Linked DNA regions of Drosophila melanogaster. The gene in region 2 interacts genetically with the main gene of each other region. Each region holds a gene or a part of one and is shown on either strand. Other genes may lie near its edges.

Region 1 (15,576 bases), on a different chromosome or scaffold from region 2:
AATTGTACATTCATTGCAATGAATATGTGAATAATATTGCAAAAACAGTTCACTCATTTCGCACACTCAAAGCAATATCATTCATATTACATTTTGAGTATTATATTTAAAAGATAAAAAAGGGTATACGAAATCCAACGAAAGTTCTATTCTCAAGCGGGGAACCGGTTTGGCAAAGTTTATAACAAAAATCAAAAAATTAACTTTGGACACACACTAGCAAATACCGATACACATACAAATGTATGTGCAAAATATATGCATGCCAAAAAAAAAGGAAAAAATAAATACGGCAAAATAAATAAATAATTGTCGTTCGCGAAATGTGAATCAACATGTTGGGGCCCTCGCGTCCAGGGGCGGGGTATCAAAGGGGTCGAAAGGGGGCCGAAAGGGGGGGATGAACTCTCCCTGCGAATTTCTATGGAATTTCACATGCAGCGGCAACTGCAGCAAACAGAAAACAACAAACGTGAGAGGCAAATAAATAAAAACACATTATGCAGAAAGCAGCACACGTCCCTATCTACAGATGTACAAATGTACATACATACATATGTACATATGTATGTACACACCTACAGCCGTATGCGTTATAAACAAATTGCAATCAAAAGCCAAGTTTGGGAAACCAAAAGATACACTTTCGGTCGACTCAAAAATGCCCTAGAGAAACCGAAGTTGCGACACAAAAAAAAAAAATAGATAGATCCCTTGACAAAATGTATCTTTATCTTTGTATCACAGGTTACGCTTCTTCTCGAATTATTTATATATGTATATACATATATACAACACTTGGATATGAATTCATAAAGTCAAATCAAATCATGCTAATTTGTTAATGCGACAAAAGTTCAGTCGCAATATGCGATTGATTCGTGACCAGAGAATATATGAATCGATTCAGTAACATAAGCATATTAGTATCATTCCCAAATCGACTCATAGTCATGACCTCCCAGTGTGACTCCCAGGGTACTTCAGCACAACTTTTGGCTCCCCAAACGGAAGGTTGAGTAACTTTTTTAGCCCTCGGAGAAGGGGTTCACCGACTACAGATCCAGCCCAAAACAATCGCATGAGCCGTGGATACGGAGATACCTAGATAACTAAGCTACAGATACATTTGCTGACTTTAATTGATGTGACAAGTAACAAGTGGCGAAACAATGGCCAACCCGAAGACGAAGAGACTGAGAGAACGTATTGTACATGGCAAATTGCAAGTGACAGTGGGGTACCCACTCGAAAAACCAACTAAAGTCATTTGCTTGCTTAAAATAATATGAACAAAGAAATCAATCTTTCTCATTCTCTTAATTAAGCTTCATGAAATATAAGTCACGACTTTAAGCTTGATTCAACGTTGATACGAAATGACTTTCCCACTATTTATAGATTATTTAAAGATCGTTGGCCGGAAATTCCAAAATCGGAATTTGGATGTATGAATAATGCCTAGACTAATATATATGTTTTTCAATTCATCTTTCAAGACATTTCCCCACCCACTCACCATGTCCTCCTCGTCCTCGCAGCAGTTTACATCCTGCAGCGTTTCCCGCCACGCCAGCACGGAGTCCGTGAGCAGCAGCCTCGCATTGGAGCGAACGCGCAGTTTGCGTCCCGTCCTCGGAGCCACGCCCCTCTTACCGGCCACCGCCCCCGCGGCGAGCACGGCCCGCTCCCACTCCTCCTTCAAGGGCTTCGGAATGGCCGGCGTGGGGTTGTGCTGGTGGTTATACGAATCCTCCGCCTCGCAACTGCAGCCACTATCATCGCTGCGTGGTGCCAGACTCGTGGTGTTTGAGGTGGCCAGTTGGGCGGGTGGCGGTGGTGCTGGTCGGCGGATCCGGGTCATGAACCGCTGGTGGACCAGCGAAAGATGGTAGTCGTAGAATATAGCGCTGTACTTCTTCGGATCTTTTTGGCTGTAGAAAATGCAAATGTTCCTTAGGATCGGATGCACCACGACTGATGGCTGCTGATCCGCTGGCAGATCCTTTGGCGTATCCTTTGGCTGCCCGGTGACGCTGCTGCCAGTGCTGCTGATGGAGCCCAGGGTCGCTGTGCTGTTCGTCACCGTACTGCCCAGGCTTAGCGTTTCATCCGCCTCCTCCTTACTCTCCCGCGAGTACATGAACTCCATATCCGTCTCCCACGCTCCATGGTCCATGGAGGCGGTGGGCGAGGGCAGGGGCGTCGGCATCATCATCTTGGAACGCTTGGTCAGCGTCGATGTGGACAACTTATGGCGCACTCCGGCGGCAAAGACCGCCGCCGCTTGGAGAGCCATCACATCCGGATCAGCATCGGATGGCAGCGACTCGTCGTAGTCCCCCAGATCCTCCTCCTCATCATCCACGTCGTCGTCTTCCTCGTCTTCGTCCTCCTCATCTTCGCCCTCGACGGGAAGGGCTTCGATTATCTCCTGATCTACGGGTTCGATTGTCTTGAACTGCCAAATGGGTTGGTAAATGGACTCCTCCTCCTGCTCCTCTGGGCTGGAATTCTCCGCGGCAAAGGAGTTGCCTCTCAGGTTATCCTTTTTCCCTCCGTTCGGCTTCGTCTGCTCCTCTTCAATCTGGCGGGGATTGCTCAAAGATGTGTTGGGATTTCGAACGGGTACCTTTGGCGCCGGTCGTCGAACTTTAATAACGCAATTCTAAAAGTTGAGGTGGAAACATACTATATTGTCAAAACAAAAAATAATATCCTGTTTCGACTGTTGTGTTTTACTCGCTGCAATAATTGACGAACGGTGGGATATCGTTTTGATTTCATTTCGTTTCAATTATAATAAAAACATTTAAGGAAACCCCATCTTTGAATAAAGTTACGAATTTAGGGTTACTTCTCACAAACTGATAAACATAGTTAATTAGTTAGGTAATTACGTAAAATAACAAAAGTGGAGGCGGATTTCCCGATCAGCTTTTAATGGAAATTATCATTAATATGCCGCCTGCGAAAACAATGAATTACTCCATTAATAACTTCTTTGCTAGGAATCACAATATTGAACTTTTTTGTGCAGTTGTGATGGCAACTTTACTGCTTTTTACGCAAATTTTGCAATCAGTAAAAAAAAAATATTCAAAAAAATAGTGTGAAAAATGACGTTAATTAAACGCTGATTATTTTATAGTTATCTTGTGCTTTCATTGCAAACTTGTTTGTTTTACTTCACATTTTTTTCATTGTTCAATGGTTGTTTTTAATTAGATAAGTTTGTTTATTTATTTATTTTTTTTTTTCGTTTCGCTGGCCAATCGAATGTTGGCATCCCTTTCGCACGTGAACCGTTAGTCAATTTTGAACTGCAGTGAAACGTAACAGAATCAAGTACACAGAGAGAAAAGTATAATTGCATCACAATATTAACGTATTGCCCTCAAACTGTTTTTCATATATAAGAACAGAAAAAAAAGTAGGGATCAATTTTAATCGTTCCTGATTGATGTTGAACTGATTTGACGGATCGCAATTGGGAATTATAAATTTTATATTTATTTACATGCACTATTTGTATTACTTTGATTTACGGAAATCAAACCAATTATAGTTAATAAAAAAATTGGTAAAATTCAACCGTGTCAATTGAATTTTTAAATAATATATTTTTTTTTTGTGGCGCTCGTTGATACCGCCCAAACTTTTTCTCTCTGTGCATTTTAATTTTGCCTTTGATTGATGCGGCTTTTGTTTTTGCTTTTTATTAATGAGTGTTGACCTGTGTGATTGGCTGCTGTTGTTGTTGTTGCTGTTGTTCATTGACATTGCAATTGGCGTTGCCGTCGTTATTCTTGTTGTTGTTGATACCGCTTTCATTGTCAACGGTGTGATGGTTGTTGTTGTTATTGCTGATGTTGTCATTGTTGTTGTTGCTGCTGCAGTTGATGGTGTTGTTGTTGCTGTTTGTTGAGGGGCGCTCTGCCTCGCCATTTGGCTTAGGCGCTGCCATCAAAGCTCCGCTGTTGTTGTTACTGTTATTATTATTGTTTTTCTTGCTGTTGTTACTGCTAGTGGAGCTCTCGCCCCCGCACACACCCTCTTCCCTGACTATCGCTGTCCCTCTTCGCCTCGTACTTCGATTCGCGCGGCGTCGCGACGCAGCAGCAGCACACACGTCTACGCTCTCTGAAATCGCTGGCGAAACTGAAACCGAAGCCGAGGCCACCGAACGATCGTTGCCGCCGGCGAAGGAGAAGGCGAAGAGAGGCAGGCGCCGTCGCCAATCCCCCACAACGCCAACAACTGAGTCACGCGCTCTCCTTCGCCGATAACCGTTGATCGGTGGTTGTTGTCGCTGTTGTTGTTGCTGGTGCCACAGCCACAAGCTGAACGATTTGTCATAGGCGGTGAGAAAGCCACGCACACTCACGTGCAAGCTGGCCGAAAGAGCGAGACTCTGCATCAAGCGCAAGAGAGATACAGAGACTTGAGGCTGAATTGCGATTGCGACGACTGCGACGTGCTCTTCGATTGCGGCCACCTGTTGATGTTGCACTGCCTCTTTCTCTTCGCCCAGTGCGCTCAGATAGTCATTCACAAAGTTGGCCGTGATGGCGCAGCGCCGTTGCTCTCTTTCCGGCTCCACGTTGTGCGCTCTCTTCTGCTGCAGCTTTCGTTTAAAGTCCTTGACCAACTTCGCCTGCTCGTCCGCACACTTTGCACTCTCCTCCGTGCTTCTCCGCAGTGTGACCGTGCTCTCCTCGGCGGAGGATGAAGGATCGCGCGCTGGTACGCTCTTTGGCTGCTGCCACGGCCCCTCGTCGTAGTGGTGCACCTGCCGCCTCAGGGAGGTCATCCACTGGCAGATGCTCTCGTTGAGATACAATGATGAGGATCCTGATGTGCTTTCGTCCTGCAGCAGGCGAATGCGAGAGACGCGCGGCCTCTTGCGCTCTCTCTTGTGGCTCTGGCTCTCTTCGGGCTCTCTTACGCGGCCGTAGATGTGCTGATCGCTTTGGCTGCCCTTCAGTTGCTGCTGCTCTAGCTTGAGTTCGCAAATGCGCTGGAGGTCAAAGGTCTCCTGGGTGCGGAACACCTCGTCCACGTTGTGGATGATCTCCAGGGAGCCAGCGCTGCTACTGCCAGTCGTGGGTGTCCTCGGGAATATCCTGCGCTGCAGCGACGACGAACGGTTCAGCTGCTTAAGAGAGCCAAAGAGACGGGTCAAGGTCGCCGCACTGGACTTGGAGTAGCCCAAGAGCGACCGCGACTTGACCTTGGTGGGTGGTGTGGGCGGTGTGGTTGGTGTGGACGGTGCGGGCGCTTTGGCTGGCGTCTCTGACCTTTGACACCGGCACCGCTCGTTGTCGCTATAAATGCCGCGGCACAAATCGCAGATGTTCTCATAGATGTTGCTGCTCTCGCCGGAAATCGTCGAAAGGGGCGGTGGCGGTGGGGGAGGCGGTGTACTCACCACGCCCCCGCTCACGATGCACTGGCAGAAATGGCAGTAGCGTCCTTGGGCGGCAAACACGCCGTAGCCGCAACCCCGACAAAGATTCTCGTAGATCGCCTCGCGCGGAAAATACTTGCGCAGCTCCGCATTCAGGTGACCTTTGGGGGTGGAGGTCAGGCCCGGCAGATTCTCGTAGATGTGCGCCTCCATGCCGACGTTATCGTTAATGTCCTTCGCCTGCTGTGGCATCTCTCTTCTTTATTTCTTCTTCTGCCTCCCTACTTTCTCTTATCGCCGCTGCGTCACATCGTAATTCATTATTAAGTGAGAAAATAATCGCCGAGCGGGGCAATTGGAGAGATAGTAAGTGAGAGCACTGTCATCGAGAGAATTTCGTGCACCGCAAAAGAAATGTCGCGAAGGTATTTAATTAACATAAATTCGATTTGGAAATGCTCGAATGGCTCTTCTTAAATTTCTCACTCGAGTGAATTGAATAACTTGTAATCTTCGATTACTCACTATTATTTTTTGAGAAACACCCCAAAAACGACCTTAGTTCTCGCAGTGTAATCACTGAGAAAAGTCAATGGGCTTGAACTCTTTAAGTGATGCCACTACCCTCATTTTCTTTCTTTCTGTCTCTTTCCCTCCCGCTTCCGACTGCAATCAGCGATATTCATTATCTCAGCCAAAGTCGCTGCACTCTGCACTCAGTTTTCCTCCAAACCATCGGCTTTGCCTTCAAAACACAATTCTTTGGCTTGACTTTTTTTAAATCTGGGAATTTAAAGGATGAATTTTTCGAATCTAATTGCAAACAGCTTTTAATAATATGACCCTGTTATCGTGAATTTCTTTACCATTTCTTCTAATATTTACATATATTAGCTATTTTGATAAAATATTATTGGAACCCATTGCTGTATTCAATATATGTGTAACTAGACCCAATATCTCTGTATATTTCACGCCCAAAAAGATCCAGAGCACTTATCACTAATCAGTTTAGAGCTCTAAAATGAATTGTTTGTTTGCCCTAAAACATTTGATGCTTAAATGCAAATAATGTTTAAAGTAAAAAAAACCCCAATGCATTTCATCTGACTAGAATTCCACAGTGCTGCTTCTGCTTTTGAGCTTTGTTTTTCGTTGATATACGGAGATGAGTCACTAACCGATCCACCAAACCATGTCGGTCCTCTCGTAACCCCCGTCCTTATCCCTCGGACTCAAAATGATGGCCATGACTGGGTGAAGAGAGCGGAGAGGGGCGAGAAACCCCAGAGAAAACCCCGGAGAAACAGAAACAGGTTGGCGGCCAGTCGAGAATTGTGTAACGATCGTCGACTTCCTCACCTACGCCTCACAGGTGCCGCCAGGTAGATGGAATGTGGAACATGGTGTGTGGAATATGGAATGTGCTCAGTTCACACTGGCAAAAAATAGTAGCCACTGATTTTGGGAATTTAAAATATTACAAGAATTCTACAATTCCTTCTTACTGAAAAACCAAAACGGAAATATGCAAAATTTCATTTTACATATATTAATATATGTATATTCTATCTTTTTTTTTCAAGTGCACAGTTATCCCGAACGGAAGGCGAGAGTGAGCCTAATGGAGTTAAGGTGCCAAGAAACGAGGGTCCGTGCATTAATCTTTCGATCGGCGTAAGTGGGGAAATCATGTTTATCTCGATGGTAGATCTTGAAATCTTCTTCGGGGGCTTCGTATTATTCGTAATTCTTTGATCTAGGATCGCCGCCATTAATCATAATCGGCTTGGGGCGGAAAGGGGAAACCGGTTAGGGGTTTTAGGTGCTTAAAACATGTTTCGCATTCTCCAACACCACCAATTGTTGTTACAGCGTCATTTAAATAAAACTGATTCAAATCCAGTCGAGAGTAGCCTACCACCATATTTCAAAATACAACAGATTTGGATCGTTAGGTACCACAAATGTTGGTTGGTTGGTAGGTAAAAGCGTTTTCACGGTGTTGTTAATCATACTTTGGTCTAGAATCAGGGTCAATGGTCAATGGTTGTCTTGTTTGCTTGGACAATAACCTGTATTATTAATTTTCAATTCTTTATAATCATGTTTGGGTTGTCCTTTAAAAGATAATTTTACAGAACATTCTATAAGATATTCATTTCTCTGATAAAAAACACACAAATTATACAGAAACCGAATTTATTTAAATAGAAAATCTTGATTAATTACTTGCGTGATATATTAACAATCCGAGAAATAATTTAACAAAGAGCCATACACTTAATTGTTCCAAACTATTTGAATTTTAATAGCAAACAAAAGGCTTGTGGAATTCTTCATAACTGATTGACTGTGTTTTCACTAATATAATTGTTGTGGTCTCATTAGGAGCATTTCTCTGAACTAATTAGCTTTCTACAAAATAAACAATTCTTAAATTGAATCCCTAGGGTCTGAAGGTTCTGAAGCATAGTTATTAATAAATAAGTGAATAAACTATTTAGAAGCCTGACATCACTGGGCTTGTTGTTCATTTTGGAAATTTTGAAAGTATATATTTCAAATCCTTCATGACTTAAGAAATGCTTGCGATTCACTTTAAAGTGTTAAAATTTCATTAATAAAATGTTTTTATGTACTGATACGAATCACCAAAATGCAGCAATAGCATAGAAAAAATATATTGATACCGAATTCATATACTTTTTTAAAAATTTTCATTCAGAAAATCCGTTTCGTTATAAATAGCTATAAAAATAGCTGTAGCACAACCAATTGAATATTATATTTTTTAATATGATTATGATATATATTTTGTTGAACCCAATTAACTAAGTTTAACTTCAAACACTGGCAAAATACACAGTTTATAGTTTGATTCCTCAAATACAAAAAAAACAAAACCGCAAAACTTTGGTTTTTCGGGCGCCTTGGTGATAAACTTGCATACTTTTGGGCATTCGATCGAGACCTTCTTGACCCCGTCAATAAAACCTGTCCAAATTGTGCAGCCCCCAAGGAGACAGCAATGCAATCAGTGTGGATTGTGGGTAATCCGCTGATTTGCCTATGCCGATGATTCATCGCCGTTCATTTTCAGATGGCGCGACAAATGAATAAATGACGATGAATGCCATTGTAAAAGCAATATACTGTAATTCACAAGAAACACATGAGCACACACACCCATATTATGGGCGAAAGGAAGGAACAAATAAAACGGGATTGGTCCCGTTATCTCGCAGCGCTTATCTCACTTTCTCTCCAATTTCCCCAAATGCACTGTTTTATTATTAAAACTATTGTAGATCGATCGAGGCACTTGGTGGGCTTCAATACCGAAACCCGAGCACCAAAACAAAAAGCACCGATTTTGGCCAGCACTGATAAGCCGAGCTTTAAATGGGAGCATTACGAAATTGGGCTTGAGGTGGGGCTCTCCATCAAATCGGGAGCTGCAGGCGCGACGCGTTCGCGAATTTAACAGAATATCAACTGAAATTGAACTCAAGATGCCGCCGAGAATTTTCTTGGGTGGCGGTCCGCCTCGTAAGCGATTGACGTCGCAGTCGCCGCGCAGTCGCAGTCGCAGTCGCAGTCGACGCCACGAGTCGGTGGCGGTGGCTATGGCTATGGCGATGCCGACCTCCGGTCACCCAGGGAACTCGAGCACTCCACACTAGTCAGCAAAAGTGGGCACTAACCCCCAAAGCCCGCAACAAAATTTTGTTGCTTCCGATGAAAAAGCAAGTTGGGAATTATAAGCGGGTAATTTCAAATATTTCAGATATTCAAATGAAATATAATACATATATTACAGGATATATCAGTATTTTTAAAAACTATAAATGCTAACTATATATGCCAGCCTTACAAAATTATATCATCAATAAGTTTCTTTAGAATAAAACTTTTTAAATTAATATAAGATTCAATAGAAATTCTTGCCTTGTCTAATACATTTCTTACAGTTATTTACTTTTATAGGCAAAGTCTATGGATCATTATTATGACCATGACTATGGACCATTATGAGCTGTGATTCATCATCGGTGAAACTATGACTCATGTCAACCGAGCTTGAAACTATCCTTCGTACCCATGTCATGCTGACCAGTGTGGGCCAGAGATCAGTGATGGGGAGGCAAAAGCCCAGAACAGAACAGAACAGCGCAGAGCAGAACAAACCTAAAACTGAACTGAAACCGAACCACATGTGTGTAATGGAACATGGGCAACATGTGTGGCTCTGTCTGGCTGTGCGCCACCACATTCACGAATGTGCGTGTGTGTGTAAGGGTTGGGGGTGGCATGGGCTAATGAGGGGGTGAGAGGGTAAGGGTGGGGCGTGGCAGCGACAAAAGACGCTTTTTATACTCAACGCCCGTTGCCTAATTAAGCATATCGAGTGCGGTCCCTGAAGGAGGGTGGTAAAGGGGGGGGGGGTGCTGTCGAGGGTTGGGAGTTTGTTTTTCAGTTCGGCTGAGTTGGGAGTAGGGGGTGCAAAAAAAGGGGGGGGCTGGGGTCGGTTCTGGGACCGCAGAGGGGGCGGTGCTGGGCGGGTGGATCGAGCTGTGTAAGTAACCATGATGAATGCTAAACACTGTTCAATTTATGCACAACAGTTGCGTAAACCGATTACGATATGCATATACATATGTACATACATACTTTTGCTCAACACTTTATTGCAAGCAATTCCGATATGAAAATGAGAACTGCACTTTCAGCACGAACCGTAAGCTCTCTTATTTCTTATTGAATTTTGAAACCAATCCTCATAATCCTGTTCCTCATAATACTGCTCGCAATCATGTTTTGAAGATCCATATAGTACACGACCGATATTTACAAAAATCGGAATCCATATAAAACAGAACCGGGAGCAAATAGAGAAAGAAAAGATGAGGATGCATCTTTGGGGAAAAAACAACAATTCCGGGGAAGAGACTTAAAAAATAGGCGAATGAGAGTGAGACTGAGAATGAAAATAAAAATAAAAATGAAAATGAAAATAAAAATGAAAATGAGCAGAGGCCGGCGAAGAATCGCATTGCAGCCGATGTTCAGCAATATGGTCGCTTGATCTTTGAACTAAATTAATTAAGCACAATGAACACAATTGTTGTTGTTGGCTTCGCTGCCGACGGCATCAAATGTATCCACCAGATACGAATACAAATACAAATACAGATGCGGATACAAAACAACAAATACGCACACATACCGAAATAAAGAAATGCATTCAGGCTGTGACCAACATTGCATTCAACTGTTTGCTATCGGCTACCCTACATACATACATATGTACTTTTATGTATGTATGTGTATATGCAGGAATATACCAATAAATCATAGGGTTTTCTAGGGTTGACTAAGTGTGGGATTTACACTATAGATTTAATATCTATCTTAAAGCACGCCACCACATATGAGTTTTAAGTGCATAAATTGAAACCCAAATATATTTAATATATATTTATTCGGCTAATAAATTATGAATTATATCTCGGAGTAGGGCATTTAACATTCGCAGTGCTTGGTAAATTAATTCCTGAAGAACATATTTCTCATGTTTTCGCTTTCAGTTTCCATCTTTTTTTTTTTTTTTTGCCCCGACTCATATTTGGTTTGGCTTTTCTGCGGGTTCCTCGGCCGCCTTCTTTTCCCGAAAAAAAAAAACAAACGAAGAATTAAAAGGGGTGGCCCACGGCTCATGGCCCGTGGATGATGGTTGATGGCTGATGGCCCTGTCCAAGTCCCGTCCATGTCCCAACCAAATCCACAGCCCCGTCCCCACTCACATCCACATCCACATCCCTGTCCAGAACCAGACTCGCGTCTTTGGCAGCATTATGTTTCCGTCGGTAATGAGTTGGCAGCGACTGCAACTCAGTGTTGTCGAGATCCGACAGTAAAAACCCGATGGATTCGAGTAACAAGTGCATTTCAATATTTCAATGTGTATATAATAAGCCTCAATATGCAGTTATGATAAGCGGAGAGATTCTATACAATTTTATCTAATCTTAAATGTGTAGTATATCCTAAATGTATAATAATATCTAATAGTGTGCATAAATAAAGTGTATTTTAATAATAATTTTAATTTTTAATATTTTCAGTTGGTTTCTGAAAATGCAGAAAACTTCATTCTCAAATAATTTGCAAAAGATTAAAAAAAAATGCTATTTCTTGACTAGCAATTAAATAGTTGGAATGGCAACTCTATTTCTGCGTTGAATGTTGCATGTGGCTGTATTGGTGTTTACTCCCCCTCCCCCAATACATGCATCCTCTTCACCCCCCTCTCCACTGAGTTCACTTTATGATTATTATTGTTGGACGGCGGTCTTCTCCTTTTTTAATGAATTTTATTAAGCGCGACAGCAGCAGCAACAGATAGATCGAGTTGAAAAGAGGGGAGTGGGGAGTGGCTGTGTGTAAGTGTGTGTGTGTGTGTGTGTGCTGGGTGACCGAAGCCAGCAGCTTTTGTCAACGCCTCAAAAGTAAAGTAAAGAGCTGCTGGTAAAATAATAAAAATACAAAAAAACTGCCTTAATTGGTACTTTTTATTGACCATCGCCTGTGACTCATTCGATGTTTTATACCATTCAAGCATGAAATCTAATCCGATGAATTAGTCAATAATTGATAAAATGGAAAAACAATTTGCGTAAAATGGTGTGAAGTATGCAATAAATATGCACTGCATTTGTAAGTGCTTTACGCCTCTTAATTAATAGCATTTAAACGATTGTGTGGCTAATGAGAAAAGTGTGAATTAGAGAGGGCCTGTTCAATATTATGAAATTAGTTTTGTTTTTTAAAAACGCAATAAACCTTACACACACACAGAACCTTGTAAATTTTGAGAAACCGTTGCATTACTGTGTAAACTATTCCCGATTTTAACCATATTTCCCTATCAATTGCTTGGTCAAAGAATTGAACTGAAAGATATTAGTTTTCGAAACGTGTATTTATGCATTTTGCAAACGTTCGTGTTGACAGGAACAGAAGCTTGAATAAGTAAATGAAAATTGTTGTTTCCTATATAATTTTGTTTTCGATCAATCCTACTTATATGTAAGTAACACCAATTTAGGGAATGAGCCCGCTTCTATATAGCTCATCTCCAGACTTTCCTATCAGTAACACACTGCCGAAGGGCCCCCGAAACTTGACTCATAGACTCACAATTTGAGATAAAAACCTCTGAGATACAAATTGTGAGAATTCAATGACGCACGCGAGAGGGGGGGGGGGGGGCAGGGAGATAACGGAAGCTGAAATTGGAATTGGAATCGGAATACGTAAACGAGTACGAATTCGAATTGAAATGAGAATGTCAGCTCAAGTGTCAATCAGACGACGACAATTCTACTTGGCGCTGCATTAACAAAGAAAAAAAAAATTAAATTAAAAGAGAAATTTCGAGGCAAAAGTGCGGGGCAAATCAGAGCGAGAAAATGAAATGCATAAATAAAGCCAAATGGAAATAATGCACGCAGAGTATCTATGTGACCGACTGGGTACGTGTATTTGTGCCCGTTGTTGACTGATGACAAAATTGTTGCACTCGTCAGTCAGACGAACCAAGTGATAAGCCTCTGCACAGCAAAAAACAAAAGGCATTCAGTTGTTATTAGGCATTACAATTTACACATAGCAAAATTTCGTTACATAAGATGCATTCGGTGTCTGAAAGTATGCAGCAATATATTTCTAAGACAAAAGATAGATACATGCGAGAACTCGACATACTAGTGACTCCATCTAGCTAATCTAGCTACTTGAGTAACTTAAAAAATATTTAATGCGATAAAGAAATAACACGTATTTTCTCCCGGTGCATGTCTTTTATGTTCCCTCATTCGCATCAGAGAAATTCGCTTGACAATTGCTTGCTAATGAGACCCAGCTTATAATGGTTATATTCTATTTTTCCTGGTTTCATTTCTTTCCCCATTTCGCAATGCAAAAATCGCTGGGAAAACGCGCCCGAATCGCTGCCAAGTCGCGCGCAACACGCATGCGCAGCTGCACTCGCAATTAGTCGCCAAGTTGAGCGGCACAATGGAAATGAAAACGAAAACGAAAACGAAGATGGACTAAAAGATGATAAAGTAGGCAAAGGCGAATGGCAAAACACGCAACGGAAAACGAAACAGACAAAAGCTCGAAATAAGACCATGCGCAATGCATTTTGCCATTGCATCAGTGAGAAAACCGCATGGGTTAAGGGGGTTTTAGGGGGTTAAGACGCTTTTCGGATGGCACAATGAAAGCCCCTATGCCATTGCAAACGCCATGCCAAACGATATTCACACAAGTCCATGATGTTACTAACATTGATTTATGGTAGTTATCAAATAATGTAAATGTAAATGTAATAATGTAAAATTATGTGAAAATATGCACCCAGTTTGCCAGGAAACAGTTTTCCCTTAGCAACAAAATCGTTTATATATATATTTTATCCCATGAAAATGGGTCACTAAACTTGCCCAGCACGGCTGCAATGTAATCAACAAGGTTAAGGTTACGAAATATGTACATATGTCCATATTTTTATCGCATTCTTCGCACAAACGGAAATGTAAACACTGATGTACATACATATACACGATGTGTTTTTGATATAAATGAACTTGCTTATATGCCCATGACAAGTATGATTTATTGGCTAATTGGCCAATGGTTTTTTATGGATTTCACAGTTGTTCACGTGGGTCATCTTAGTTTAATGATACAGTTTCCAAGCAAGGTTTTACTCTTTACTGCACGCACATTAATACGAAAAGTCGTGTATTAAAACAAATTAGTTATCAAAATGAGTTGATCTTCAAGCTAAGCGATCTGAAGGACGCCGAGATGCGCCAGTGGAAAATGGATTTTCACTTTCGGACCCAACGGAACTCTTTCGGAACCCGTTCCGGTCTCACTTTCACTGGGAATGCAAATTTCATTCCGAACCCTCCAATGAAAGACCGCTAACGGACCGTAAACGGGTTTAAATTCATGGGCCAGGGAAATCCTATGGATCGCCGATAAATAAAGCTGATACACGGATTATCAGTCGAAGATCAGTAGTTGCAGCTTTTTCGGGGAAATTCAATCTCGGCTCTATTAGGGCCTCCCCATTCACATTTATATGGACTTTTAAAGAGGTATTACCAGTGATTAGCATTTTTGGATCTCTCTAAGGTAGCTGGATGTGTCATACAAAGTGATCAAATAAATAAATTACGAAATATCAGTTTTCGTACATCACATAGGCTTAAAAGTTAATGATTGATTTAAAGTCAACTAGGATGGACTTTCTTGGCTGATTCTCCTCTTTGATGGATGTCTTGATGGATGGGTCTGGTTAATGCCATTTTTGAAAGGCGTTTGCTACTCCCCACAAATTGATGCATGTTTCTAGGTGAGATTGGACTTACCCTCAAGCCGTTCTGATGGCGATGGTTGGAGGTCAGATCCAGCATGGAACTGGCCCTTAGCTTCTGGTTTTGATCCGCACTGGCAGCTGGAACCGGCACTGCTGGCACTTCGGGAGTCAGGGCTTGACCTTTTGCCAACTCCATGTCCTGGCCATGATACGGATCTGGGTTTCCACACTCGCTGCAGGATATATTCTCCGCCGATCGCGCTGATCTGCTAGCCAGTGGCGACAAGGATGCGGTGGATGATCCCGCCGATGCGGACGCAGTTGTGCACGTGGAGATTGTGGGCGATGTCGACGTCCATGTGGCTGTGGGTGGTGTTATGCTGGTGAGCGTAACTGTTAGTTGGCCGATTCCCTCGTTGTTGTTCTCGATGGTGTTGTTGTTGTAGTTGATGATATTATTGTTGTTGTTACTGCTGCTGCTGTTCGTATTACTCGAGTTTTTTGCATTGGCGTAGAACACCTGGGATATGCTGCGAAATATGGTGCGATAGCCCCTTTTGTTCTCCGTATCGCCGGCCATGATCACACTGTGCAAAAAAAAACTAATAAAAAAAAACAAAACAGATATCACACACTCGAAATCTGCACGATTCTGCTCTTTCCTAATTCTTCACTCTTTCACTTTAAACTCATTGGTTTATGGTTGCGTTTTGTTAACTCTTTTGTTTTTATGGCGTTTTTGTGTTGTGTGGGAGGGATTCACTGAAAA
Region 2 (15,752 bases):
AACGTTCGAGTCTAGAATGGGAGTAGAGATCGTGGCATGACTTTCTAAGACAACAACGATAACAACGACAACGACGCACCTGTCCACCTGCTCCTTGAGGCACTCGATCTTCTCGTGCATTTCCTGCTGAGATGTCACCTTGTCCTGGATCGCCTTTCGCAGCGTCGACTCGGCGGCGTATTTGGCTTTCCGCAGTGTCGTGATTTCGATGTCCTTGCGCGCCAACTCGTTGGCATAGTGCAGCATGTGGCAGTTCTCGCCCATCGACATTTTCTTGGAGCGCACCTTTAGCTTTCTTTCCCGCTGCTCCCCCTCCACGCTGTCGGTGTCGGAGGAATAGTGAAAGGAATCGGCAGCTGCTTCAAGTGTGGGTGTGGCCAGTGTGCTGCCCACACCGCTGGCCGAGTGAAAGACCTCGAAGGAGGTCTGCAGTGTCTTAATCTCCTGCTCCTTCTCATCCAGCAGCTGCAGTGACCTCTGGCGCTGCTTCTGCAGTAGCTGTTCCAGCTCGTTCAGTTTGCAGCGCGTCTCGTTCTCCAGTTCAGCCTTGGCTTCCTGCCACTTGGTTCGTTCGTTCTTCAATGCCAGGCGCAGCTTTTCGCCCTGCTGCTTTAGTTCGACTTCCGCCTCGTCGATGTTGCGATTGAGCACCTGCACCTTCTCCTGCAGCGTTTGGATGTGCGAGTGCTGCAGCTGCACCTTCTGTTCGAGTAGCTGTCGCTGCTGCTTGGATGCCTCGAGCATTTGCTGCACACCCTGAAGCTGTTGCTCGCAGTGGGCGTGACTCTCGACTCGGGTAGCTGTTTGGCCGCTAAATGATAGGATCTCCCCGAGATCCAGTGGATTGGCAGAACGGGCATTGGCTGTGGTAAGCAGTTTCTTCAAGCGCACCATCTCGTCAACCAGCGTGGCTACGTCCACATCTTCGTTTAGCGCCCTTGAATTGGATGTTGGACGCACATGTGCCTGCTCTAGATCCTGCAGCTGCTGCTTCAAATCATGGATGCTGTCCTGATCTTGCTGACGCAGGCGGTCGTAGCTGCCGACAGTGGTGCTGAGCTCCGCCAGGCGTGCCTCTAGACTGGCCACGCGATCCTCGTGCAGCGCCGCCTGCCTGCGACTCTGTTCCTCGGCACGCAGCACGCGACGCTGTTCCTGACGAATGGCCACTGCATGCTGCTCCTTCAGTTGCTGCATCTCAAGGCGCACTTGCTGAAGGAGAGCGGCGCTGTCCGCACTCGCTGACGCTGCTGCAGAGTGCTCGGTCTTGGCCTGGAACTGTTTCAGCTGGGAGCGAGCCTCCTTTAGCTGGGATTGCAATTCCCGTAGCCGGCTATTCTCTGCCTCGTTGCTGGCGAACTGGGTCTTGAAGTTGTTTAACTGCATCTCAATGTTGTCCTTTAGATGCCGCTCGTCCGCATAGAGTTTCTGCAGTTCGCGGATCATGAGCATTTGGTTGTTGGTCTCTTTCTCGCGCTCCTGTCGCTCCACGATCCACTTGGCCTTGATCTCGTCCACGTCGCTTTTGGCCCGAGCAGCCTGCTCCTTGGCCCGGGTATTAAGCTCCTGAATGGTCTGCTCCTTTTGGGCGATTTGGCTGCGCAGTTGCTTTTTATCCGCCTGAAAGGAGGCCTCCATGCGGGATTTCTCAGCGGAAAGAGTGGCCAGCGAGTTCATCAGGGTGATAATTTGGGTCTGCAGTTGACCCTCGGCCGGGGGAGCAGGCGGACCCGGTGCAGCGCCCTCGGTTGCTCCATCCGCAGAGTCGGTGCTGGTTTTTTTGGACTCCAACTCCCTGGCCGGCGATCCGGACTCGCCCACCGCCGTGGCCTCCGCATGCGCCGCCAGACTCGTCTCCAATGCCTCCTTCTCCTTAAGCAGACCCTTGTAGGCAGTGACCACGTCTACAAATTGGGCTCATTAATCCATTTGCATTGCGAATTCATCTATGTCTCACCTTTTAGACGCTTTTCATAGCGCCCCAGTTGCTCCTTTTGGGTGGACACCAGCGCCTCCAGCTCCCTCTGTCGCTTCTCCATTTCGCCTTGAAAGGGAATTAGTTCATTTACTTTCAGTTCGCTTAGTAGTTCAATTTATTTATCTCCCGTGTCATTTTTGCATTTCTTTTAATTAACAAATTTCAGCAGCTGGCACGCGGGCCTGCCAACTTGTCATGTTTGCTCAGGCACTAAAAATTGCCATCATTCTGATTTAAACTTTTTTTTATTTTTGCGGTTTTTCAAAAAATAATTAATAACCAAATTTACATAAATTAAAAACTATTTTAAATGTAAATGTATTATAAATCAGCTGCATAGTTGCTAAATTGAGATATTTTCAAACATTAATATTAGTCCAATTAAAGTAAATTAAATGTTGAGCCTAACTAAATCTTATTTCATTCGCCCTCCTCGTCCTTCATCATCTGCTCAATGAGTCTCTTACGTTCCTCAGCTTGGCGCAGCTTTCGCATGACCAGGTCCTCGTAGTCGGTGGATGACGCACTGCACCCAGTGGTGGCCGATTTGGTTGTCTGCTTGTCTGCCGCCGGCGGCGTTACCCACTCGAAGTGCAGCGGCTTGGCGGGATCGCCTTTTTCGTAGGCCAAGACCATGTCGCAGGCTTCGCGCGTGGCCAGCTCCACCATGGCGCGTCCGCGTCGCTTGCTGTTGACCACCAGGGCCACCACGTCGCCGTACTTCTTCAGATACTTGAGCAGCTCTTGCTGTGTGTAATCCTGGCCAGGTTCGGCCTTCCACTTCATCTTGATGCGATGCTGGGCGGAATCAAACTGGACCGGCTGTTGCTGCAGTTTCTGTTGCTCCGCGTGATTCCGCCGGAACTGCTCCTGCATGGCTCGCTGCTCCTCCTCCAGCAGACGGGAGCCCTCGCGTCGCAACCGCTCGATCTGCTCATGCAGCACCTCCTCGTCGCTTTTGGCCACCGTGCTGTAGGGTTGGCTCTTCGCCAGTTTGTGCAGTGCCGCCCGTTCACGTTCCTCCAGTTCCAGCTTCAGCTTCTGCCGCTTCCCGTCCAGTTGGCGACTCCTCAGCTCCGCCGCCTTCTTGGCCTTCAGCACTTTGTCATAAGCTGCGCGCGCGGATTCATCCGTGAGGATCTCCAGAGCCTTGGACAACTCATGGAAGCGCTCGACTGCCTTCGGATTGTCCGGATTCTTGTCGGGATGGCACTCGAGGGCCTTCTTGCGGTACGCCTTGCGTATCTCATTTTGATCAGACTCGAGAGAAATGCCCAGAAGATCGTAAAGATTCACGTCACTGTACTTTTTGCTAGCCATTTAGTCTTATTTTACTCCTTATTCAACAACTGGAACATGGGTTTGTTTTGCAGTTTGTCTTTTTTGGGCAAAAGTTAGCTAAAATATACTATTTTATACGAGACTTATTTCACAACTGCAGCCGGCGGTCCAAAAATGTCCAAATAAAACATTTGCAATTGTTTACTGGATCAGCTGTTCGCTGCAACGAGTTGGCAGCCCCGCAACACAACGTGCCCATTTGTTTGGCGTGGATTAATCTAAGTTATCGCAAAAAAAACTCAAATATAATATGACCTTTAGGCGCTGAATTAAGCTGAAGGTACGTCATGAGCATCTATCACGACGAGGTGGAGATCGAGGACTTCGAGTACGACGAGGAGGAGGAGATGTACTACTATCCCTGTCCATGCGGCGATCGATTTCAGATCTCCAAGGTAACGAGTCGTATACGCAACCTTTTTTTTTCTGGACTCCCCATATCACTTGGTAAATTTCCACTTTAGGAGGAGCTAATCGAGGGCGAGGAGGTGGCCACCTGTCCCAGCTGCTCCCTAGTCATCAAGGTCATATACGATCCGGTAAGTGACTCATTCAGAAATACACCTAGAACTCCCCAGAAAACTCAAGCAATCTGATTTTCCGAATTTCAGGAGATGTTCAAAGCTGAGGAGGATGAAGAAAGTGCGCTGAACGAGAAGCTCGGCGACCTGAAGCTCGAGAAGAACTAACACACAGTTTGGTGTAATTAAATAGTTTTTATTTATATATTTTTATATATATATAGACTTCATTTTAGTGTAAATAATACGATGACTAGTAAAACAATGATTTCAAATTATGCAAGCTCGCAAAAACAGTTTCGATTCGTTATGGATTATTCGTTTTGGGTGAATTACAAAGGATTTATACACACATTCTAGAATATCTAAAACTAAAACACTCATATTGCACCGAGTACACTTTGTTATATATGTTTTACAAGCGCGGAGGACAACAATATGATGATAATCGAACGAAAATTTGGAAACACAAACAAGTTAAAGGAACGTCAGCGTACCAGCTGTGGAAATGTGAGTAGTACAGCGAGTTACATACAATGGAAAGCGGTTGGAAAAATATATAAATAACATACACCTACCACTCTCACTTTCTGCTTACGGCTTAGGAATTCGACTTAAACTTAGCACGAAAATATTGTTATGGTTCGCCATGCAGTGTTTCTGTCCACTGCATCGCATACTGAATCATCTCTGCCACCGATCTTTTCCTTTTTCTTTTAGAGAGCGTGCTCGTTCAGCAAATGAGTGGAGGTGGACGACGTGTCCCGATCTCCTCCAATATACGCGCCTAAGTGCTTCGCGAGTGAAAGGGACGAACTGCGTCTACTCGATCTACTGCTCCAGCCAGGATCCAGTGACGGCATTGGGTGACTTAAGCTGCGGGCCACAAGAGGAGAAGTGAAAAAGTGAATGTGCGAACGAAGTTTAATGGGAGCACTCTGCTCCCATGTTTCCATGCTCACTCACCTTTATGTTGAACTGCTTCAGAGTGCTCTCCAGTGCCATGGCATTGCCCGAGAAGTAGGCAGCGATGGCATTGTGCAGCAGAATCAATTGCTTGTGCATCACTTTAATCTATCGACGGATAAACGGATTGGATCAATGGTTAGTCTCGCTAAATGCATAGGTAAGATCCATTTGGCACCACTTACGCGATTCTCGTCGAGAAATTGCATTTTGACGGCCACGTCCGAGCGCAGCTTCTCATATTGCTCCTTGTGCTGCGCATAGCTGCGCTGGGTCTCCTCAAGAGCGACGGCCGAGGGCGTCAGCTCCGGCTTGGTGTTCTCCAAATCCATGCGGTAGGCATCGAATTCGATTCTAAAAGGCAGGAGGACATTACTTCTACTACATATAATTCTCATGCCTTTTTATGAAACATACGATGGCTTTAGGAAATAAAAACTTATTGCCATTGTAGAGATTATCATGGAATGCGGTTATGACTAATTGATCCAACGTATTTAAATTTTTTCAAGGAAATAATACGATAAGCAATGTTTCAAGCTTGTATACAAGGCTAGTTTAAAATGCATTTCTGATAAGAGCTGTGTGGCACAACACTTTTTATAAAAAGCCACACACATGCTGAGTTTAAATTAAAATCGAAGAGATCGATGATGATTTTTCCTTCGTTGTTGCACGACAATGAAAGGATATAGCTTTGGTTACCTGGCCGTTTCGTACTGTCGTATCGTCAGCAGCGTATCGTCGATCGTCTTGTTGCACAGTGTGTTCACCGACGAAATAAAGAAGTTGAGCGCATTAAGCAGCAGCTCGCCGTTCTTGGTGAGATTGCGCTGCGTCTCCGAATTGCACGTGAACTCTTTCTGCAGCTCGGGGTTCTTCTGGGCCAGATCGGCGAAGGAGTCGGCCAGGGCGTGCTGTGTGACGACCACGTGCTGGAAGTGCGAACTAAAGGCCCGCGTTAGCCTCAAGATGGACAGATACTTGCGCTGCGTCTCGCGCAACTGCTCTATCTGGGCCTCCAGTTCCGAGTCCACGGTCCGCTGCGACTTGCCCAACTTCTCCAGCATTATCTGTCGCGTACACTTGTACGTCGATATACTCCAGTTCTTGAGACTGTCGATCTTGGAGGCGCTAGTGCGTATAATGCTGCCGCTCCCGCTGTCCGTGGGGCTCAGGATGCCGTTACCGGATGGTGGACTACTGGGCGACATGGGTGTGGTGGGTGCTGCACGAAAAGATCGATGCTGAGTCAGTTGGTCGCTAAATCGAGGACTCGTAAATAGTTCACCTGAATGGTTTCTTAGTGGCAGGCTGCTGGGGGCGCCAAAGGGGCCGCCGACACCAACTCCAACGTTGCCGCCACCACCTCCTCCGCCGGCGATGCTGTGGCTGCTGGCGCTTCCAAGGATCCCGCTGCCGCCTTCGGTGCCCGTGTGCACCGCTCCGCAGCTGTCGTTCAGCGAGGGCGCATCCTTCAGCATTTCGTGAATGCTGCGCTCGCGGTCCGTCATAGCTATGGCCGTCGTTAAGTTAACCGCCCGTCTCACCGAGTAATTGCCAGCGGAAAATCCTCCTGTCTGCCCGTTTTGTGTGGGGGTGTGCCCGATTAGGTGTCTGTGTGTGTGTTTCTCGGGCAACGGCGCTGGAGGTTTCACTTCGATTTCCACGCCGAAATCGATGGCGCACGCTGGGCGAGTCGAGACTTTAGTAACCCCTGCCTGGACTCGTCAAAATTCTCAAATCCCTAAAATTCCGCATAAAGTTCATCAAACTGTGTTCACGAACTGAAAATCGGTGTGACTGTGCGCGAGTAGGTGGTTAAATGCCACACTTGGACTGCTTGGATACCGGCTGTGCGACACGGTATTTTAAAGGCGGAACGGTGGAGTTTGGAACACGGGGAAGTCCTGTCCTGCAGGTCAAGTCGGTGGGACGTGGTTTGGCGGGACAGTGACTGCTGCGAGGACTCTCCTCTGCGGCACCAGCATTAATTTTTAATTCATTTTCATATATATTCTTGATCATGATCAATAGGCCAGTTGATGTGGCCAAGCAATTCTATTTGGATTTTCAGTGCCGACCAGTTGCGGTCCCACTAAAGTGGAAATTTGATTTAATTTTTGGGGATTTCATGGAAAATCTCTACTTATTTCTATTTCCACGTTACTTAGGCCAATAGCCAGCGGAAAATGGTCTACGTGAATCTAATAATAGGCTTGGGCCTGGTGTCCGTTGCCGCTTTCGCCTATTTCAATTGGCATAACGACCGCAGTTCGCCTTACTCCAGGTGGGTGCTATTAAATGAGCGTCGAATCGTGGGCAGGTTGGTGCCTTGCGATTCAAAGCTAAAATGTTGGCTTAAATCCCTTGTTTCATTGCAGGTCGCCGAATGGCAGGTGCACCTTTTGCCAGTATGAACTGAGTGATGACGACCGGCGCCGCATGAGGTGTGGACATGCCATGCACAATCTCTGCTACTTGGTGTTTCGCTATTCCCATAGAAAGTGCCTCGAGTGCGATAAGGTGGTTAATGTCAATATAGCCGGTGACTTGTGCACGATTTGTTTAGATCCCCTAAGTGTTTACACCATGGTGTATCTGCGCTGCAGCCACGCCTTGCATGAGAAGTGCCTCCACCAGTACCAGGCTAATGGTGGCCGCCACTGTCCGGTCTGCAGAATGGGAATTAAGGAGTAGGTATCACCTAGTGATCATGCAGCCAGGCAAAGCCATATATCAGCATAAGCGTGCACTTAATGCAAGGCTCAACGAATTTTATATATAACATTAAGTCGAGAGCAAAGAAGTCTGATTAAGATTTTAGTTCTGAAACGAATAAAAGTTAGATTTCTTAAAAGATGCCGATTTCAACCAAATTGTTGTTTAAAATGAAAGAAAAGTATTGGATGCGTCTATGCTTTTTCAAAAAAAAAAAAAATAATACAATTTTATATTTTTGTTTTGAATTGTTCAAATATCGTTTAGCCAGTGTGTACACACCACGCACATGCACTTAGTAAACAGACAACAGCTGATGTGCATCTTCATTATCTCGCTTGCCATTCACTTGAATGTAATGCATCACAATAATGTTGAGTTTTAAAAAACCTTTTTAAATATCGTTTGGTTTGCTCAAAATGTCTGAGTTGCGATCGATTTGCCGAACTTGTGGCAAAAATGTGACCAATTTGCAGGGTCGGGCTACCAAACTGTTCAACAAAAGCAACTATCACTTTATTAGTATACTGGAAAATATCACCGATATGTATGTATGTAAGTGAATAAAACTAAAGTATGCTGTCTATTTAATTGATTTAAATGATTGTTTAGCTCGAATTTGACACCACTCTGCCACATCTAATTTGCCAATGTTGCAAAGTGCAGCTGGACAGGATCTTAACATTTCGCAATAAGTGCTTGGAGGTCCACAAGTCTTTTATGGCCGCTAACAGGAAACTTTTGCGAAAAAAGGCGATAGTTGATGAGGAACTCGATAAACCGGATGTTGAGAAGCTACAGCAGGATTTGTGGGACCACACGGATCAGGAAATGTGTGTAGCAATGGCAGATACAGCTGGGCTTCTGCGGGAAGATCACAATGATAATGAGAAGGCGAAGGACGCAGAAGATGCGACTCAGAATGAGAAGAATCAGGAGGAACAAGTACAAGTACAAACAGAGGAGGTGGAGCACTGTCAAGAGCAGCTCCATAACATGTCCATCATCTCGAAGGGAGTAAGTGCCCGTGTCCCCAAGCGTACGAAGCGCAACTCCAAGTCCTGGTTCTGTGACCAGTGCGGCGGCGTCTTCAAGTCCTCTACCTACCTCAAACTGCACCTGCAGCGACACAGCGGTCACAAACCGTTCGCGTGCGACATCTGCCAGGCCAAGTACTACACGGATAACGAGATGCGGCGCCACAGAATCCTTCACACGGACGCCAGACCGTACGCTTGTCGGTTCTGTAGCAAGACCTACCGAGGATGCAGCAGTAAAGTGGTCCACGAGCGGACCCACACCAACGAGCGTCCCTTTCAGTGCCAGCATTGCGACAAGGCCTTCACCTCCACGTCGACGCGTCAAAAACATGAGATGCTGCACACTAATCAGCGGAAGTACCAGTAAGTAGGAGCACTAGCTGTCCTCCGTAAAATATGTGCAAACTGACTGTATTTTCCAGCTGCGAGATCTGTGACCAGTGGTTCCTGCGCTCATCCCATTTGACCCTACATCAAAGCACTAAATTACACCAGCGAAGAGCTGAAAGTGCTAGGATTGTCTAGAATTCATGTGGACTGCTGAAAGTACAAGTTTATTATAAGATTCCTAAATTGAACAAATTGATTCTATTTTTGATTTGATGGTTCTAAAAGAAGAAATAATCAAAATGTACACCTGTGACATCAAAGGTTTTCGACTTTTCGCTCTGCAGATACAATGGTTTATTTCTTGAAAAAAACTTGTAACAACAAATTGAGATTTTGAAAATCGGCGGAATGGCCGCGTTGCTGGGCGAATGTCAATTCGAAATCGACTATGCGTGGGGCTGAGAAATGCGAATGCCGCTTTTCTTGTTCTTCCGTCCAAACAAACCGAAAAAGATACACTTCCAATCGATCGGGGTGCTGCGTTATCTCATTACACAAGCCATGAGGTACATTTGCAGGACCTGTTCTCGTATGGCTGATCCTGCGGTAGCCAAGAATCTCTTCGATCCATCGAGTTCTTCCGTTTTGCGTCAAATAGAGACTCTAACTAACTTGCAGGTGAGTGCGTTAGCGTTTTGCGAAAATAAAAACCGAATAAATGCCGCGATCTGTAATCACTTTGCAGCTAAAAGAGGACGGCAAGTTGCCCAGGTTCATGTGCCAGGACTGCCAGCACGACCTGCAGATTGCCATCGATTTCCGCCGCGTTTGCATCGAGGCCCAGGAGCTCCTTGAACTTCAGCTAAGGCAGGTGGAAAAGGAGGAGGAGGCGTTCGAGAGCCTGGCGGAGCAATGGCTGGATGATTGTCCGGATGAGTTGTCCAACTTGTCGCCAGTGCTACAGCTGAATGATCGCATGGATTTTATCTTCGATCCCGAGCCACAGGATAAGAATACGGATGAGTTGGCTTCCATAAAGACCACGACAACAACAGAGTATATGAATGCATACCAGTCAGTGGCCAGTCCGCAATCTTCTCCAGAACTTTCAACAGATAGCCAGTTGTCGAATGAGCACTTTGACATGGGCCTCTCTCCCGAATCAGAACCCGAAAGTGAAGCTATCGATAATCGGGACACTTCCTCCAGCCACACGTGCAGCAAGTGTGGCCTCGAATTCGAAAACGTGGACGAACTGAAGCTGCACAAATACCATCTGCACGACATCCCGCCAGATACCAAGTAAATAATCATATTTTAGAGGCATGCTTGCATGATTTTCCCATATTATTCGTTCGAAACTTGTAGAAATCCTAAAAGATCTGAAGACGTTCCGTCAGGGCACAAAATATGTTTAGTTTACATTGCTAAATTGGCTATTAGCTAGCTCTCACATTCATTCCGTATTAATTGTCTTTTGTTTTAATTTTTATTTAATTTTAGAACGATTTTCCATTTTATACGTGCTGCTCTGATTGGAATTAAGGAATCCTTTAAACCCTATCACTGAATGACTAGAACAACTTATTCACAGTATGAGAGAACCTACCAATCAATTGCCACAATTAACACTTTAATTATCCTTGTAGATTCGTCTGTGACCACTGTGACGAGGGCTTCCGATCAGCAGCCGCACTTACGCGGCACTGCAACATGATTAATCTTCCATTGACGGTAATGATTCCATCTAAAATGTTCAATACCTTTCATAAAGGATTGTATTTTGAAACATTTTTTTTGCAGCACTCCTGCACCAAGTGCAAGAGCCAATTCCACAATCACATTCTGCTGGAGACTCACAAACAGCGGTGTCTCAGGCCGCCGGCGTCCCAGCATGTGTGCCACATATGTGGCAAGCATCTGACCACGGCCTTTAATCTGAAGAATCACCTGGTTCGCCACGCGGGCACACGACGCCACAAATGCGACCAGTGCAGCGCATCCTTTTATACAGCCGCCGAACTCTGTTCCCATCAGAAAACCCACACAACCGAGCGTCCCTACATCTGTCGCTACAACTGTGGCAAAACCTTTCGCTTTTGCAGCGCCCGCAGCATGCATGAAAGGTAGAATTTCAGACGAATCTCCACCGTCACTTAGCCCACCATCCCCACTTACGTGACCCTTCCAATATATTCCGCAGGGTTCACATGGACGCCAGCAAGCGTATCTACCAGTGCGAGTACTGCCCCAAGTCGTATGTAACACCCAGCGAGTGCAGGACACATCAAAAGTATCACAACTTGACTCGCGATCACGGGTACGACTTCCTCCCAGTTCTTAAGTATTTGCAGAGAATGCAAATTAGAAGGATTTCCATTATTCGCAACTAAATAACGAATCTATCTTGCATGTCAAACGTATTTTTTGTTTTATATGCAAAAAACGATTGTGTGCCTATATATTCCTATAAAATATCAGCAGTACTCTGTTGAATATGATATGCTGCAGTTCAATGTAATCAAATTACTTTTTTGAAGCCTCATGCTAATGAGTAAAACATTTTTTTCACCCCCAATCTCTTCCAGCTGCGAAATCTGCCGCATAAGCTTCAAGACAGCCAAACACTACAGATCCCATCTGAAGTCCAATGCCCACAAAACTCTGGAGGCGCGTGCTAAAGCTGCTGCATCCCCCAATTCCCGTGGAAGAAATTGTTCAACGAATTGAATTCATTATTGCCAGTTGCATGTTAATTATATATACCGAATTGATATTAATAAAGCTTCCGTTCCGCGTTCATGTTTAAGATCCCAGCATCTACTATCACCTACATCGTCTGTGTGTTCTCGATGACCTTCTCGTTGTCGTAGATCTCCTTGGCGTAGCACAGATTGGGGTAGTCGTAGGCAGCTCCATATCGGTTCTTGCAGCCGGTGGTTGCCTTCTCTCCCGGAGTGTAGACAGGCTGACCCACAATGTTCGATGTGGCGAAGTTGCAGGTGAGTACGAAGTGGTTGTAAAAGTCCCGGGAGAAGCGCACGGCCGCACATCCCACATGGGTGTTCTTCTCGGCCACCGCGATGGTGAACTTGGTCACCGCCTTGTTGGGAAGCTCCTCCGGGAAGCTGGCGAGGATCTCGGGAGATGCATTCGAGCGCTCAGCAAACCAGTTCTCGATCTGCTCCTTTATTATTTCCGCATCGGTGTACTCTGTCTCGGCTCCGCTGTACTGGAACAAGGCGTTGTTCTGGCCGGCGTAGGCGAATCTCTCGGTGCTGCGACATTTATCTGGCAGGGACTCACAGGTCTTTACGTTCAGCAAGGCCAGATGGGAGAGCTCCTCGCACCAGGACATCTTGGCCATGCGAACAGCCTTGGGTAGTCCTTCTATTTTGCCTCCAGCCACGTTGTTGCGCAGCTCGTTGAAGAGATTGAGGATGAGTTTGTGATGCGGCTCGATCTTCACCTCACGCACGTCCTTGGGACAATTTTCACTGAAATTCTGGGCGAGAATGGGTGAGCACCAGCAGGTTTTGGCCAGCTATCACTACTTACTCCCTTGTTGTTGCAGGCTATGTGCTTGTCCAGGCACGTGGGCAGAGCACAATAGTCCGCTGCAAGGCTTATTCCCAGCAGGGAAGTAAGCAAAATCAGACACTTAATGGCCATCTTCAGCGTTGGTTTTGGACTGAGGCTTAGCTACCCAAAGTACCCTATTTATAGGATAGCTGTGGCAATCGAACCGCAGTTGCAACATGTTTTCCAGTATTTTCGCAGCTGAGTTTCCAAGAATGTCTGGCCAGGAACAAGTGGCTGAGCTCAGTTCGAATGCCATATAAAAGCAGACCCATCTGCTGTCCAATCCAGTAGCCAAGAACTAGCATCATGGCGTTCACCAAGGTTCTCCAATTGATTCTCCTAGCTGTGGTTGCCATTTCCTCTGCCGTCGACTATTGTGCTCTCCCCACCTGTCTGGACAAGCATGTGGCCTGTAACAACAAGGGAGTAAGTTCTTATGTAAACCAAATTCACAGGAGTTCGTATTGGTAATGTCCTAAATCCCCATCCAGAACTTCAGTGAAAATTGTCCCAAGGACGTGCGTGAGGTGAAGATCGAGCCGCATCACAAACTCATCCTCAATCTCTTCAACGAGCTGCGCAACAATGTGGCTGGAGGCAAAATAGAAGGACTACCCAAGGCTGTTCGCATGGCCAAGATGTCCTGGTGCGAGGAGCTCTCCCATCTGGCCTTGCTGAACGTAAAGACCTGTGAGTCCCTGCCGGATAAGTGCCGCAGCACCGAGAGATTCGCCTACGCCGGCCAGAACAACGCCTTGTTCCAGTACAGCGGAGCCGAGACGGAGTACACCGATGCGGAAATAATAAAGGAGGAGATCGAGAACTGGTTTGCTGAGCGCTCGAATGCATCTCCCGAGATCCTCGCCAGCTTCCCGGAGGAGCTTCCCAACAAAGCGGTGACCAAGTTCACCATCGCGGTGGCCGAGAAGAACACACATGTGGGATGTGCCGCGGTGCGCTTCTCCCGGGACTTTTACAACCACTTCGTACTCACCTGCAACTTCGCCACATCGAACATTGTGGGTCAGCCTGTCTACACTCCGGGAGAGAAGGCAACCACCGGCTGCAAGAACCGATATGGAGCTGCCTACGATTACCCCAATCTGTGCTACGCCAAGGAGATCTACGACAACGAGAAGGTCATCGAGAACACACAGACGATGTAAATGCTTTTTCGATTCTTAGTCCATAATTAAGTTGGCAAATAAAAGCTAAAAGAGCTTATCATTTGAAATCTCGGCCGTTGATTTTATAGTTTTAGGATGGGTTTAAAAATGTTGGCCCGGATAGTAAAAAAAACGTATGGGTGGTTTCTTTTAGTCTAAATTGATTTATTTAAGTATATCATATCATGCGAGAGGTATTTATCATCTTGTCGTCTGCTTCGACAGCTTTCGTTTGGATGTTCAACTTGTACATTAAAACACACAATATCACAATCTTACGCAGGTTTACAAAACTGTATCTAATGTTGTGGGCTTGAACGCTCGGGAATACTTGCGAGAGTCCTGCCCTCCAGTGATTCTATCCAAGTGGATCGGTATGAACCATGATGATGCAATAAATAGAGGGTCTGATTGCTTATGTGTAAGTGATCTAGCCGATGTCATCTTGTGATTTTTAGAGAGGGACGCCGAGCAATCAGATGGTCTTTAGTTAGTCAATGACTTTGTGCTAAAATTAAGAGTAAATCAAATAGGGGAAATAAATAAATCAAAACGTATGAAAACTAAATAGACAGTCATGAATATGGGAATATGCGTTTCAGTGAATGTTAATAGACATGTGGAAACCGAAAGCATTTGGAAATAGACATAAATATGAAACAATTGTATTGGGGATTCAATTGGGATTGGGATTCAGGATTCTTTCTGTACGCGGTTAAAACAACTTAAGCTACAGCTAGTATTAACTAAGTAGGAACTGTCCATTACTTTTCCTTGGGCGCCTTGTCGAACAGGTACTCCTTGGCCATGCTGTAGGCCAGTCCGAGGGTCAGACATCCGACGACGGTTCCCTGGGCGGCGACTCGCAGCTGCATCAGGAAGACGCTGGTGCTCATCGTTCCGCGGTTCCGGTACTTGTACGCTCCAATCAATCCGGCGGCCACGAATCCGGTAATACCTGTGAGTGAAGGTGCGAATCACCGATTAGTTTCTATTGTCCATGCGGCGGATTGCTTGTTGTTGCTAGCTGACTGCGCGAAACAGCTGATAAAAGCCAGACGTTGCGCAAATAAAATCATACAAGTAAATACTAATTATGTGAATCTAGTGCTGCCAAAAATGAAGCTAGAATTTAGATAATATTATAGAATCACATAATGTAACATTTTATATTCTAACTAAAATATAAAGCTCTTTAGGAAACTGTTTATTTCAAGCAATATCCATATCTTCGGAAACTATTCGAAAATTTTTAAAGCGGCGCATTTTACTGTAATCTTTTTAATAGCTAAAACGATGAAATCTCTCAAATAGTCAGCACTTGTCAGCGTCAGCTGTTAATTGTCGCATACGCAGACAAGAGAGCTGAACATTCGAACACGCGCAAAGATCAGATGGCTACGTGACGTCACGGATGTGATAATCTCATTTGCCTTGCGATTTGCGTGAATTTCGAAATACTCCTGTTACATCATTCGCTCTCCAGAACGAGTTACGGATCATACTGCATTCACCGTTATGTCACACAGTGACATCAAAAAGTGACCCCAAATTGACGTTAAACTCATGGCCAAGGTCAAGATTAGCCGACTTCCCCGCCGCACACGCAATGTACATTCGTAAATGTGTGTAGATATGTGCGTATCTAGCTGGCTGCTGAGCCAAAAGTTTCCATGTGACGTCACGGCGGCAAAACTTTCGCTGTCCGGAAATTGGCAAAACTCACCCACAAGCATGAAGGGCGATTCCTTTGCTTTCCTGGATAATTTGTTGGCCTGAGCGGCATCCTCCTCGCTGTCGAAAAGGGACTTGGAACTCATTTTCACGAATATTATATTATGTACGCGGGCGGTTCGGATCGGTTTAATCGCTTGGCAACGTTCGCGAAACTTTCTGCAATGGACAGCAGTTCGAGCAATGTGTGACCAGAGCAAAAACTTATCGCTCACAGAAAGGTTTCCCAGAGTAAGCTATATTTAAATAGTCTATAAAGTTCTAAAGTTCTGCTAATCTGTAAAAATATTAAGACCACTTAACTACTCAGGTTATTGCTAAACATTAGATTGCATTTATTTTGATTATACACAATTAAAACTTATCAAGGGCA

Evidence for each region.
Region 1: of Arfip (region 2) and RhoGAP18B, changing one suppresses a phenotype caused by changing the other (phenotypic suppression), as found in Drosophila melanogaster (2 studies listed by BioGRID).

Annotation. Positions count from the first base shown.
Region 1 is NC_004354.4:19,149,292-19,164,867, forward strand, and holds the start of RhoGAP18B (Rho GTPase activating protein at 18B), read right to left. Parts: upstream 8,911-15,576; 5' UTR 8,829-8,910; intron 5,711-8,828; 5' UTR 5,663-5,710; coding exon 3,737-5,662; intron 2,669-3,736; coding exon 1,520-2,668; intron 1-1,519.
Region 2 is NT_033777.3:11,228,411-11,244,162, forward strand, and holds Arfip (arfaptin), read right to left. Parts: upstream 6,604-15,752; 5' UTR 6,321-6,603; coding exon 6,098-6,320; intron 6,035-6,097; coding exon 5,512-6,034; intron 5,161-5,511; coding exon 4,992-5,160; intron 4,915-4,991; coding exon 4,807-4,914; intron 4,717-4,806; coding exon 4,672-4,716; 3' UTR 4,019-4,671; downstream 1-4,018. Other genes in the region: GCC88 (GRIP and coiled-coil domain containing 88 kDa), read right to left, coding at 1-11, 80-1,904, 1,958-2,039; CG17187 (uncharacterized protein), read right to left, coding at 2,399-3,298; Dph3 (diphthamide biosynthesis 3), read left to right, coding at 3,607-3,714, 3,784-3,858, 3,931-4,008; CG17721 (uncharacterized protein), read left to right, coding at 6,999-7,132, 7,191-7,506; CG31441 (uncharacterized protein), read left to right, coding at 7,947-8,078, 8,140-8,930, 8,990-9,092; CG31388 (uncharacterized protein), read left to right, coding at 9,459-9,575, 9,643-10,199, 10,547-10,631, 10,701-11,023, 11,101-11,217, 11,486-11,627; scpr-B (SCP-containing protein B), read right to left, coding at 11,728-12,402, 12,456-12,569; scpr-A (SCP-containing protein A), read left to right, coding at 12,786-12,905, 12,971-13,645; CG17734 (uncharacterized protein), read right to left, coding at 15,145-15,465.